Xenopus tropicalis: one gene and its partner. The protein of the gene in region 1 purifies or fractionates together with the protein of each later gene. This does not show direct contact. Links are inferred from orthologs where the notes say so. Each region holds a gene or a part of one and is shown in the gene's direction. Other genes may lie near its edges.

The links. Proteins that work in one complex are often made in the same cells at the same time.
Region 2: the proteins of dcaf6 (region 1) and tnnc2 purify together in Homo sapiens (affinity purification with mass spectrometry; 3 studies listed by BioGRID and IntAct, with this or other methods). This does not show direct contact. The link is inferred for Xenopus tropicalis from reciprocal best matches to the Homo sapiens genes DCAF6 and TNNC2.

The regions. Positions count from the first base shown.
Region 1 is NC_030678.2:72,901,073-72,908,081, reverse strand, and holds the start of dcaf6 (DDB1- and CUL4-associated factor 6), read left to right. Parts: upstream 1-3,337; 5' UTR 3,338-3,556; intron 3,557-3,753; 5' UTR 3,754-3,793; coding exon 3,794-3,884; intron 3,885-7,009. UniProt on the Homo sapiens protein: Ligand-dependent coactivator of nuclear receptors. Enhance transcriptional activity of the nuclear receptors NR3C1 and AR. May function as a substrate receptor for CUL4-DDB1 E3 ubiquitin-protein ligase complex.
Region 2 is NC_030686.2:19,703,307-19,710,282, reverse strand, and holds the start of tnnc2 (troponin C, skeletal muscle), read left to right. Parts: upstream 1-2,772; 5' UTR 2,773-2,838; coding exon 2,839-2,841; intron 2,842-6,976. UniProt on the Homo sapiens protein: Troponin is the central regulatory protein of striated muscle contraction. Tn consists of three components: Tn-I which is the inhibitor of actomyosin ATPase, Tn-T which contains the binding site for tropomyosin and Tn-C.

The DNA.
Region 1 (7,009 bases):
ATAGCCATAAGCTCTGTCTCTGTTCTCTGTCAAAAGAAACAGGATTTGTTGTCTCTTTGTTTCCTGTGCCAGAGACACGCAGCTCTCTCCTCTCTCCTGCTCCCTTAAGAATGCTAAGAACTCCCTCCCCCCCTCAGGAATGTGTGATCTGAGCCAATCAGCAAGAAGCTTCCTCATAGTCTTACAAACTGAGCATGTACACCGATCTTGGTCTTAGTGCAGGAGTGAGGCATTATGGGAACTTTCTTTACAGAGCTCAGCGGTTTTTTTTCCCTATGAGGCTTCTGATAATCTGAACGGGAGAAATATGGGGAGACTTAAGGGCACTATTGAGAGAACTGAAGCCTGCAGCTTGAGATTAACTCAAACACTTTGGCAAAATCCAAATAGATCACATTTTCTTTAACCCCACTGTCCAACGTCTTACTACCCTCATCATAAAAATCAATCAAATTTGTCTGACATGACCTGTCTGTCACGATCAGTATCCCAAAACTCAGAACAGACTCCAAGGGTCCGGGCTCGGCTCATGCTTCTGCCTATAACCGCTGCCTTTCATGTCGGGAGGAGCCCTTCGCTACTCGGGTGCCGCCAGGACTTGTTGTGAGAGACCCAAGGAGAGAGTTCTGAGCAGGCACAGGAAGGTGGGGAACACTTTAGCGTAGTCAGGACGGGCCAGGGTCAGCAGTGATCGGGCAATGCAGTACAGGGTCAGGATCCAATAGAATAGTCGCTCAGGCAATGGTCGGTCCAGGCAGCAGGCAAGAATAGTCAGGAACAGGCAAGGTCAATACAGGCAGCAAACAAGAGAAGGTCAGGTACAGGCTAAGGTCAAACACGGCAGGAACAGCAAGAGAAACACACCCAGGAACTCACAGGAAGCAGAACCTACATTGGGCAAGGATTTAAAGCTAGAAGGGCCTTAAATATTTGAATTTGGCGCCATAGTGATGTCATATGCGTGCGCCGAACGTAGACGCTAGCGCGCATGCGCACGAAGGCACCGGAGTTTAAAGGGCCGCGCACCTAGGAAGAGCAGGCAGGCGTCCCCGCAACGGAGGAGGCAGCGGGCATCCCCGCCGCCCCAATAGACCACCAGGTACCTTTACACTGTCCTTCATAAAGCCATACTGATTACTGCTCATAATACCATTCTCCCGAATATAATTTTGAATGTGATCCCTTAACAAGCCTTTAAATAACTTGCTCACCACAGATGTCAAACTTACTGGTCTATAATTGCCAGGCTAAGATAATCCCTTTGTAAATGTGCTTTGGGTGTAGGATCCACTTCACTCATTGTTTTATATAATAGTGATACCGTTGCCTCCTGGTCATAAATGTCTTAACATGAGTCTCCCAAAGCACCAGTGCCTTGTCTTGTTTGGAATCAACAATTTAAGCAGATACATGCACAGAAGCTGCCTACTATGTTCCTCCACATGATTTATAATAAAGCAGTGGGCTAGTGGCACAGAGCTGTGCTTGGTGGTGGCAAGAGTTTTAAAATTGTAAAGAAAAAAGCTCCCTCTTTTTACAAAATGATATCATGAAAAACATTTCAACACATCAAAACATGTAAGGGTTGATTCACTAAAGGTTGATATTTCGAGCGCTATTTATAGCATGCATTAAAAATTTTATCGTGTCTAATTTTTCGTGTCTTAACGCACAATTCACTAAAAGTATATTTGCGTTAATTTAGACGCGATGCTGTTTGCGTTATTTAAGTTGCGAAGACTATTTTCGTGCGGTATTTGACGCAACGCGCGCTAATTAACGCAGCGTGCTACTTGTCGCGAGTGCTAATTCATGCACGTGTGCTACGTATCACGCGCACGCCAAATTAGCCATACACACCATTACATTCGTAAAAGTACTTTTTTTTTAAAATGACCATTTCCCTGCAAACTGGAGGATGCATCACTCTAGGGCCAACACATATTTGAATAAATCGCACTGCAAACTCCATATTGTGTTGCCAAAAGCTCATGAACTGTAGGTGTTAATTTTTGCATAGAGTAATGCGATATTTAGCGTGTCTAAGGGGCATTTACCAAAGCACAAATTCGAATCCCGAATAGCAAAAATTCGGATTGGAAACGAAAATTTCATGACTTCTTCATCGCCGTCGCAACTTTTTCCTATTTTTCGCGACTTTTTTGTCGCCGTCGTGACTTTATCGTATTGAACGATCGTAAACGGCGGAAAAAACCTTTCCGACTTTGCATGATTTTGGAAGCCTCACAGAGGAATAAATGGCACTCTGCAGCTCCAACCTGGCCAAAGGAAAGTCAAAATACTGAAGCTTGAATGAATCCGAAACTTTGGTACTTGGCGCAACAATACGTTTTTTGCGACGGCGACGAAATAGTCGCAAAAATACCGATCATTGCGAAAAAAACAGATTCGGACGCATTCAAAGCGTTCGTGCCTTAGTAAATCTCCCCCTAAGTGTTTGTGAATCATGCATTAGTATTATTTCTGCGAGCTAATTAACGCAATGCTTACCGCATTGCGTTAATTAGCTCGCAGAAATAATACTAATGCATGCGCTTGCGCGCTATTTAACGCATACGATATGCGACTTAATGCATGCGATAATACTTTAGCGAATCGCACGTTTTTTGCACATCAATTTTAACACAAAAAGCATGTGAGAAGCGTTATCGCACTTTAGTGAATCAACCCTGTAGTGTCCAATAAAGACAAATATTGCAGCATTATATCATTGCAGTTCTAGTCTGCTTCCATTAACATTTATACCTAAAACAAAAAACCCTTATTAAGCAAGAAGCCCTATAATGAGACTTCACTGGGAACCAAGGAGAAGTGTAGATGTGACAGCTTTTACCATCCAGCACATTTTAAGAAGGGAAAATGCACTCCTAGCAACACTTGTGCGTGGTTCCTATACAAATTAAAGCGAACAATGTGTAGAATTTGCTACATCTGTCATTATCTTTTATGTCATGGCCATCGTATTGCCAATTATAGCCTCACAAAGGAAAATAAGAACCCTCCCGCGTTTATGAAAGTCGCAAAAGTAAAAGGAGCTATATCCCACAATTTACTAAAAAATCTCTTGTGCTTTGGTTGCAACCAAATACAAACAGCCCGAACTCGAGCAATATTTTCTCCAACTAACTCTGCAGCTCCCCCACCCATTCAGATTCTGTAACTCCTCCTATATTACAGGTCATGGTGACGTATTGAGCTGAGCAATTCCATTTCCATCCTAGGCTCTTTTCTATTTCTGTCACTGCTACAGCTGCTGCCACTCATCACCTCCACCACAAACAAACAAACACGGTTCGCTGGTCGGAGAAGTGGGTAAGATACATGGCTGTCAGAGCGTCCTTTACCGCTTCCGGCCCTGTGTATTGCTCGCACTGAGCGCCTGACAGAACTTTACAGCGGGAGCCTGTAACAGGCAGAGTGGCCGCCTTCCTTTAAGCTGTAGTCGTGCACAGTTTTTCCCGATGAAGTCAAGCATCTGCGCTTTTGTTTAGTCACGAGTCGCTATTACCTTGCGCTAAGAAATCCGATTGCCATTGTAAGTAAACCAATCAGGAAGCAGAAACATAAGTGAATGGCGTACCACATCTCAGGCGCTACATAAGCTGTTTAACAAATGACACTGTCGTGCCATGCATTATTTGTATTATGGATACAGGCTAGTGCTAAACATGATTGGAGATCCATAACAGATAAAACAAGTAACTTTTTTTGTTTTTTTTAAATCCTCTCTAGTTGGACAAGCCAGCCTGAAAGGATATACAGGAACTGGACTATGTCACGGTGCTATTCTGGTCTAATATGGGATGTACGGAAACGCTCTCTTGGATTGAGTGAGCCCGATGTGGTCCGTAGCAACTATTTGGGTGAGTGTTTTTGCCAGGAGAAACAAAGGTCACACGCTAACGACTTATATAGGTATAACAACAACCCATGTTGAACCATATTTATCCAGACAAAATTGAAGAAGTTCCATATTTTGCCTGCAAATGCTTAGGGGGCAATTCACAAACAGTCAGATTTTTTTTCTGATTTGGATTTTTTTTTGTGCTAAAAGTCAAAGAATAAGAGTTTACTATGCGTCAAAACGGCTAAATAACTGAATCTGACAATTTGCCAAATAAAACCTGACAATATCATGTAGAAGTCTATGGCAGATGTCCCTTTTTTCCCTGGAGGATCCTTCATTTGGTTCAAAACTTTAGAGGTTTTGGATTTTTGTGCAAAAAAAGTAGAGGTTTTTATGTGACAATTAGAAAAGATTGCAGTTTTGCAACTTTTCTACAACTTTTTCCTGCACAGACTTTTTCAGTTCAGACTTTTAAGTATATTCGTGGAAATTAGTTTATTTAAATTTTTAAAAAGAAAAAAAATGAGGTTAGAGTTTTAGTAAATCTGCCCGTTAGTGTAATTGTTTCCTTGATAAAAGATTAAGCCATTGACTTTGGTTTAATCCTGCAAGTGCCAGCAGAATTTATAATTTCATTCACTCTCTTTTTTTGAGCATTTTGTTTTCTTTCTCTCTTCAGGGGCATTTAGCTTTATCAAGGAAAACTAGAAATAATGTTTTTAGAACAACCTAAGCTTTCTAAATCTCTTTGTGGTTTTGTGTAATTCAACTTCCAAAACAAGAAGCCTCTAAATGCCAATAATTTACCAATGAGGACACTCAGTAAATTGTCAAACTGGGAAAAAAAAAGATAATAGAAAAAAAAATGTAATAACAATGTAACACCATCTAGGTACAATCTAATAAAACATGTCACACAATTGTATGGGGTATCTGGTTGCTGTAGAGCGACAGGAACTGAAAGAGAGTCATGGCCAGGCTGCAGGTCCAGAGACCGTACTATAAAAACATTACACATATCATTAAAAAATTGTATACGTGTGCATGTGTGTGTACACTAACTGTGAGTGTCTGCAAACTCAGGCCCAAACCAGAATGCCCCCACCACGATGTTTCACAGATGGGATAAGGTTCTAATGCTGGAATGTAGAGTTTTTTCTTCGGCGTCATCCATCCACAAAACATTCTTCCAGTATACTATAATATATATATATATATATATATATATATATATATATATATATATATATATAATAAATAAAATAATATTTTTGGGGGGGTGGCAGTGGCTTTCTCCTTTCTACCTTGCCATACACACCATTGTTGTTCAGTGTTGTCCTAATGGTGGACGCATGAACACCAACATTTGCAAATGTGAGACAGGCCCTCAGTTGTTTAGAGGTCCCTTTGTAACCTCTCAGACTATTAGATACTTTGCAGTTGGATTTATTTTTGATGTTTAGTCACTTCTGGGAAGGGTAACAATGGTCTAATTACCCCCATTTGTACGTAATCTGTCTGACTGTTGATTGGTCCAAACTCTTTAGAGGTAGTCTTGTAACCTTTTCCAGCTTTATGAGCATCAATAATTTTTTTTCTAAAGTCTTCAGACATGTCTTTTGTTCAAACCATGATACACATCCACAAATGTGTTTGTGTGATCAGTCTTTGATGGATTCCCGTTTTTGAAATTCACACCAGATTGTCGTCACACGAATGAAAACACCAGACTTCGATTTCACCTTCAAATTATGATAATCCTAAGGATTCACTTACTTTTGCCACATGCATATATCTTAAGGGATAATTTTTTTCAATAAATACATGACCAAATATAAGACTTTTTGTTTCAATTTTTTTAGCCAAATTTTCTTCATCTACTTTTAGGACTTGTTTGAAAATCAGATGATGTTTTAGTTTATGATGTTTTAGTATAAAAATATAGAAAATTTTAAATTGTTCACAAACCTTTTTTTTTTTTTTAAGCAAACTTTCATGTAAATGATTAAATAGCTTGAAAATCCAGAATACCGCTATCCTCATAGTACTTTTTATGTTACATTTGCCTTAAAAAAATTGTATTAACACTATATAGGTATATTTACCTGGGTTTTACATACAGTAAAAGTTTTTAACATTAAAATGGATTTATACCAGCTTAGTTAACTTTTAGTTCAAGGCAATGTCTTATTACACAGAAAATGCAAATTAGACATCAACAAAAGATTTTTTTTTCTTTTTAATTAAAAAAAACACTTTTGGGAAATAGCAGTGCTGCATTTTGTAGCTTTTATAATAATGGTTTTCCAGGCAATAGACCCTTATATACAAGGGTTGGATTGGCCTGCAAGAGTACAATGGAATCTTGTTGTTGGCCCCACTTTTGTACAGTCTACCTTAGAGGCAATTTACATCAGTACCATTTAGCATATTTTATATCTAACAGTCTTTAGAATGGCCCCTGGATGTCAGCTTTCTGTTGGGTCCTTAGAAGCTCAGTCTTGAGAACTGACCTTTTTAAATATCTGCAGGGCTGTTTTTTCAGAAAGGACAGCCCTAGGCCCATGAACCAGCCATCATCTTCATACTCAGCCCTTGGTGAGCTTGTTTGTTTTGAAGCATCTAGGGTTTACATGAGATTTAAAAAAAAGAAAAAAAAAAAAGTGAAAATGTCCTGCGCGTCCAGTCCCCAGCGCTCCGGAACAAACAAGCAACTGCAGATGCAGCCTTGCTACAAATACTAGCCTGTGCATCTGTAATGTTTGCTGAGACCTCATTGTACTTTGAGATTAGTGATCAGTATCAGAACAGGTAAGAGAGTTTGTTTTAATATTAATTTGTTACAATTTAGGTGGGGAAAACTGTAAAAGAAGACTTGCATAGTCAAGATGGTATTACACTGCATAAGTCCTTTCAGAACTGACATCTGGACAGCAGGAATATTTTCTGTTAGCAAAGATATTTTCTAGTTCTTTAGTTCTGGTGTATTTGTGCTTGAAAATAGACTGTCATCTTGAAAAAAGTTAGATTTATGTGTGGGAAACCACGTTAATGGAGTAGTTTATATCCTTGTAGTTCTCTGACTGTATCTTTTCCTGTTAAAAATGAATTGCTCCCTGTGGAGGCAACCTCAGAATTACT
Region 2 (6,976 bases), on another chromosome or scaffold:
GAGTGTCTACCTTAATAGCGAGAGCAATCAAATCTTCAAGGGAGTCAGGTAGATCTCTGGATACCAGGTCATCCTTCAGACGGGACGATAGGCCTTGGTAGAAGACTGCCTTATAAGCCTCTTCATTCCAGGAAGTTTCCGCCATGAGGGTTCTAAAGTCTATGGCATACTCACTGGCACCGAGACTGCCCTGGCGGATTTGCAGCAGGCGTGAAGAGGCAGTAGCGACCCGACCAGGGGCATCAAAGATGGTTCTGAACATCTGTAGAAATTCCTTCACATCAAATGTCAGGGGTGACTGACTCTCCCAGAGAGAAGTTGCCCATTCCAGTGGTTTGCCCTCCAGACGAGACATAACGTAGCCCACCTTCGCTCGCTCACAGGAGAATTGGGAAGGTTGGAACTCAAACTGAATCTGGCATTGAGTCACGAATCCCCTGCAGGCCTGCGGATTGCCACTGTAGCGCGGAGGAGGAGGTATTCGTGGCTCACGAGCTGGCGACATCGCTGGCAGAGGAACCACCACAGCAGGAGGAATTTCCGCGACAGCGGGAGTAGCGGGCAAACGGGACAAAATGGAATCAAGTACTTGCCCAATTCTGACTTGCTGGGATTCATACGCCTCCATACGGGACGCCAGCCCGCGAAGGGCTCTTCCGACGTCCGGTACCGCTTCCTCGGGATCCATGGCCCGAGTATAATGTCAGCGGGGGCCTCCGGCACCCACGGGAGGGGTGAAGTCAGGATCAAGGAGGAAGGCCGCTTCCAGTGAGTCCGAGCGAAGTACAGATGCAGGATAATCCAATAGAGAGGTCAGGTTCAGGCAAAGGTCACTTAAGGCAGGCAGCAAGGTTCAAGGTCAGGAACAGGCAATTAAACAGCAACAGGAAAGCAGATGAGAATATTAGAGACCCAGGAACACAATAGGTATGTTGAGCTATACTCGGGCATTGAACCTGGGTCTCTGGCGTCCTTTGCGCCATAGCGCGTGACGTCATCGCGCCGGCGTCCTTGCGCCCACGTGGAGCCCTGGGCGCCGCCATCTTGGATTTGCCGCGCCGGGAGGGAGGACGCCGCCGCACGCCAGGTAGGGAGCGTCGCCGATTCATGACAGGCTTATTTTGAATTCCAGTCCAGGTCTGTGCTGGAGCCCCAAGGGGTGCAAAACTATGTACCATAGGACCCATCCAGGCCATATGGATTTAGTATGGATAGAGTTTCCTTCTGCCTTGCATCCCACTGGCACTCCCTAGTTTGCATGTCTGAAAGATGTAGCACACAACATGACCTTATGGATACAGTGCTGCCAAAAACAGGCAGTGGTGTATTCATAGGTATGCAGGTCCAGGTCCAGACTGAGATTCAAAATCGGCCCTGGCATTTCAAGGGCAGAGAGGCCCAAACAACCCCCACCAGCCCAAAAAATAGTGGGCTGGTGGTGTCTATGGCATCTTACTGCAGCCCCTCTGGCATTTGCCCGAATGCACAGGGCTTGCAGGCGTGATACAAGATGCAAAAGCTTTGCATATTTTGCATTATGTATTTATTGGTAGGGTTGCCACCTTTTAAAAATAAAAATTAAAGCTGGGGTGGGACAGCAACTAAAGGGGGGTGGTATAGAGTGGATGTAAGTGGAGACATTAGGTGGCGATTATGTTAGTATAGGCCAGGTACACACTTTTGGATTTTATGTTGATGATGCCCAGTCTGCAGCTCTCCAACTCTTGTTCCAAAATTCCCAGAAGCCTCTAAGTGCTGTAGATTATACACAATCGTTCCTGGGTGTCAGGTTCTCTGGTGGACTCTAGGAGGCCTACTCTAGCACTGATTAGATGAACATACAGAAAAAAAGATAAAGTTATTATAAAATGTGGGGTCAAGCAAATTCTAATTATGTCACAGCAAGTCCTGCTGAATGGTTTAGCTTTCTGGCACTGAACAGAATCTGCTTTTTTCGTTATCCAAAAAGCAGCCATTGTGTGTTCTGCATAAAGTAGAACTGTTTAACCTGCAGCACTTTAGTGTGTATTGAACTATAGCTCCCAGCCACTGGCTGCTGAAAATTGTACTTCAACAACAGCTGAAGGGCCACTGGCTGGGCCACACATGTGTTACTGATGCAACTTAAAACTGCTGGTCAGCTGGTCCCTACAGTATGACTCAGTTCAGTCACTCCTATTTGCACCCACTGAAAGGCAGCTCTATGCCTGTCCTGCAGTTCTTCCTGCCTCTGCCAAAGCCGTTTGTATGGAGCTTGCCTGCCAGTGCAATTGCCAATGGATTGCCCTGCTTCTTGTGCCACTGCTGGTCACGTTTGCAGCTGCTTCTCCTTCTAATCTGGTTCCTTGTGAAGGGAGGGTGGGTGGGCTGGGGGGATCATTTGATACTATTCTTCTCTGGCTCTTGCAGCCCTTGTCATAAATCCGGGGGATGGAAGTCTCTCGTGGGGAGGGAATGGATGGGTGGGGGGGTGTTTAGTGCTGGAAATTCCCTTTAACTATTTACAGTAAGAGGAGAACCATGTGTTCACACTCATCAGTGTCCCCTCCCTCTTTACCTGGTCTTTTATTTTTGTGTTGACTGCCCCCCCAGCACAAGCTAAATTTGGTAAAAGGCTTCTCCCTCCAATCAGGGGTAAGCTGGCATGGGATTGGGAGTGGGGGTGTTTTAAGTTAGTGGCATCCAATCAGGGCAGAAGGGGGAGCAGGTGTGTGAATGGGCACAGTACAAATTAGAGGGGGACTGTTTGTAGAAAAGCTTTGGGGGTCTGTACAGAAGAGGAAACAGATACCTCCTGCCATCCTTCTCCTCTGCAGGCATTTGGGGTGACCTGCCAAGATGGTAAGTGTCCCTGAGGTTGGGGGGGTGCGAACTGAAAGGCTGTATCCATCTGCATCCTACAAAATGACAAAAAAGGAGACAAGAGGTGCAATTGTGCCAAGTCTTTGGAGTTAAAGGGGGCAGTGGGGTCTTCTGTCATAAGAGATGGCAACTCTACCCAGAACTGCCGAACAAATCTCTAACATTGTGGCTACTCAGATATGAATGACATGCTGCCTCTGTCACCATTCCTTCTCTGATCATCCATCACCAGGGACATCAAGGAAGGAATGCTTTGTCACCAAGACCCGAGCCAGAGAGTGGCAAATGTCACAGCTTTATAGTGAGGTTCAAAAAGAAACTTTCATCACCTCTAGCTTGCCTGGACTGAACTAAACTTTACTGTGCCCTACAGATACAGTTCCTCTGCTACAATAGCACTTAATAAGAGGTGTTTTGTGCTACTACAAGTAATCCTATTGTGTTTATGATGAAAGAGTTTTAACCTTGTGTTAGATTTATTGAATTATTTGCTTTTATCTTGTAACTAATATTAAAGGGTAACTATAATATGGTAACAGTCAGGGTAGATTTTAGCTTTGCAGTTGCTATTAGATGGTTAATATACCTGATACCAGATTCTCAGGGCTTTCCCACGGACATAATATCAGTTTGGCTTTGTCGAACCTTATTTAGAACAAGAACTGGGTTTTAAAGAGCTGGCTCTAAAACTGGCAGGCTTTGTATTTCTGGCTTGGATAATGTCAGGATTTTAGGATTGGCTTTTATATTGCTGGACATCTATCCGCTACAGGCCCCAGCTACCACCCCCACAGATCATAAGAATATGCTAAGGCATTGGTTGGGTTTTATGCTTTCTCTGTCACTGGTTATTTTAAGACCAATAAAAGAGTTAACTCTTTCTCTGCTAGTGCCAGTGCACTGTGTGTATGGTTGCTAGGGGAACGTTCATAGTAGGGGCAGTAAAATGCACAGAATGCACAGAAACAAAGAATGCTTTAGCTTGTAAAGGAATTTTCTTAATTAATATTGTGCTAAGATCCATTTACAGACTGGCACAGTTCTGTTATTAGCTATGACACCCCATTGGCACAGGAAAGTATGAATTCTGGGCTACAATTATGCTTAATGCTGTGTATATGGTCTATAAAAACAGGAGGAATTTTCATGCCGGGTTGGGATATATATCTCTGGGGTGCCATATATGCTAAATGTGTGCTTGGCAGGAAGATCTGGTTTGCTTTTATATTTGTATGTTGGAAAATGTGCATTCTGTTTTTTTGCTGTGAAGAATGGGATTGGTGTAGGGGATGCCTCAAAAACATTAAATAGGAAAACTACAAAGTTTAAAACAAAAGTGTCCTGGCTGTGTTCCTCCATTTTTAATGATCTATAACTCCAAAAAATCACATTTGCGATTACTGGCTTGCATCGAATGTGGGTGGGGGGGAGTAAGAACTGGAGGGGTGCAGAAACAAAGTGAAGAAGGTAATAGCTGTAATATAAAGGTAAAAGAAAGTGCATAATGATATTGTATTTTGCAAAAAAGTGGGGTGTCTCTATAGTGGTTTGTAAAAGTTGCACCTTTTTTGGAGACTGAAAATAAATCCACATTTAGGTCTATATACTCTGACAGCTCCATATAGGTCCATATACTCTGAACAGGTTGTATATGTTGCATATTATATTAATGGCTACATATGCTCTTAAAGGAACAGTAACACCAAAAAATGAAAGTGTTTTAAAGTAATTGAAATATAATGTATTGTTGCCCTGCACTGGTAAAACTGGGGTGTTTGCTTCAGGAACACTACTATAGTTTATATTAATAAGCTGCTGTGTAGCCATGGGGGCAGCCATTCAAGCTGGAAAAAAGGAGAAAAGGCACAGGTTACATAGCAGATAACAGATAAGATATGACACCATTGTATTCTACAGGGTTTATCTGTTATCAGCTATATAATCTGTGCCTTTTCTTCTTTTGAATGGCTGCCCCCATGGCTACACACCAGGGTTTATATAAACTCTAGTAATGTTTCTGAAGCAAACACAAAACTTTTACCAGTGCAGGGCAGCAGTACATTATAGTTTAATTTCTTTGAAATATATAAATTTTTTGATGTTACTGTTCCTTAAAAGGATCCATATGGAGAGGAAAGAAAAAGTTCAGTTTAAAGGTAATGGATCAAACTTTCCAGGTGGTTCTAGATGAAAGGGTTCTAAGGAAAGAGATTCTCAAGGTTCGGTGTCAAGCTATTGGTTCCGTGTGAAGGTCCGGCAAGGTTTCATCTTTCCCACAAATATGTTCACACTTTCCAAGGAGCTTGGCTTCAGTTTACATCACCCTACTTCTCTCCCCCCCCATGCATAACTTGGTATCCAGCCAGACTTCTTACTTGCAAATTCTCCCACTACAAAGACCAGGGCAAAAACAGATTCTACCCTAGAGATCATTGCCTAGTAACATTGTCTTCTATTGGTTATGATTGTTCTTTAAAATCATCATATCTTCTATGGTGATCTTTTTGCAGTTGTTTACAACCAGCACCTTCTTTTTGCTTATCATAAAACAACAGCAGAAGGATGCTTTATGGCAAAATTTTCTAGAACCCCACTGTCCTATACCCAATGTGTTTTTTGGTCTCTTTTATGCCTCATAAATTTATATGGCATTTATGGACATTCCATTACTTACACAGGGGATATATACTCTCTGTGGTTGATGGGTCCAACAACAGCATTTTGACCTCCCTGCCTAACCTTCTCCTCTGGGTAGCTAGTCAATTCATTAGCTCCATATCTATAAAATGTTACACTTTCCCCTTTTCTCCATAGCTTCAAAAATAGAACTTTGCCTTGGCATTCTTCCACAGGGAAAGACTCATGTAAATTCCACAGACAGATTCCAAACTCTGATTTTAGTTAAGCCATCTTCTCAGGATGTTTTACTTAACAGACACTAACAATTTAAGCTAAACATTATTAAATAAATACCTACAAATACTGGCACAGTAGCAGTTTGGTTGATGTTTTGGCAACACAGATACACAATTACTCCAACCACAAAATAAATTCAGACCATGGGCCACAGACAGAAGCCACACACAGGCAAATATTAATACCATTAGAAAGAAAAAAACACAACTGTATTATAGATGTGTGTGAATAGTAGTATATCTATGTTTGCATTTTGCACTTTTATACCTGCTATGGGCTTATTCACAAACATCCACAGTCCAATACGCTCAAAATTTCTTCACCTTGAGTCAGTTTTTATCACTGTGATCCCAGCCATACAGCTGCCGGGACAAGTACCCTGGGCTTCACACATGGAGGAACAATAGGAAAACTCAACACACTAAAGGTGCCCATACACGTGAAGATCACTTACGGGTGGGTGATATCGGGGAACATGTAGGCAACAATGGCGGCAATGGGGCAATCTTTTAACCTGCCCCATCGGTCGGGCATTCCCCTCGTTCCTGCCCCTACACGGGCCAATAAGCTGCTGAATTGGTCCAAGGGACCGATATCAGCAGCTACAATCGGTCCGTGTGTGGCCACCTTAAATATACACCTACAGACACTATATTTGTATAGTAATGTGATGACCTGGGAAGGAACAGTGGGAATGATGCCAATAGCAGGTGGAGATGATAACCTCCAGCTATGGCTTTAACAGATTTAATAGGGAGATGTGTTTCTTATTATAATAACAATGGTGTAACTAAATGCCCATTTGAAACCCTCCTACTCCCCCCTCTCATGCTTACATCTAGCACCAGTGCAGAAAGGGCACCTGAGTTATGCCACTGGCAGTGAGGATAATAGCCTCTGGGGAATAGAAGGTATAGTAGGGAGAGACGGAGCCTATAGAACAAGTGGGGATAATAGCCTCTAGGAAGGGACTGTGGCGTCGCAGGTATAGTAGGGAGAGATGGCGCCTATAGAAGGAGTAAGATAATAGCCTCTGGGTAGGTACTGTGGATGTGGGATAGCAGGTATAGTAGGGAGAGATGGTGCCTATAGTAGCAGTGGAATAAAAACCACTGGGAAGGTACTGTGGCTGTGGGATAGCAGGTATAGTAGGGAGAGATGGTGCCTATAGTAACAGTGGGAAAATAGCCTCTGGGAA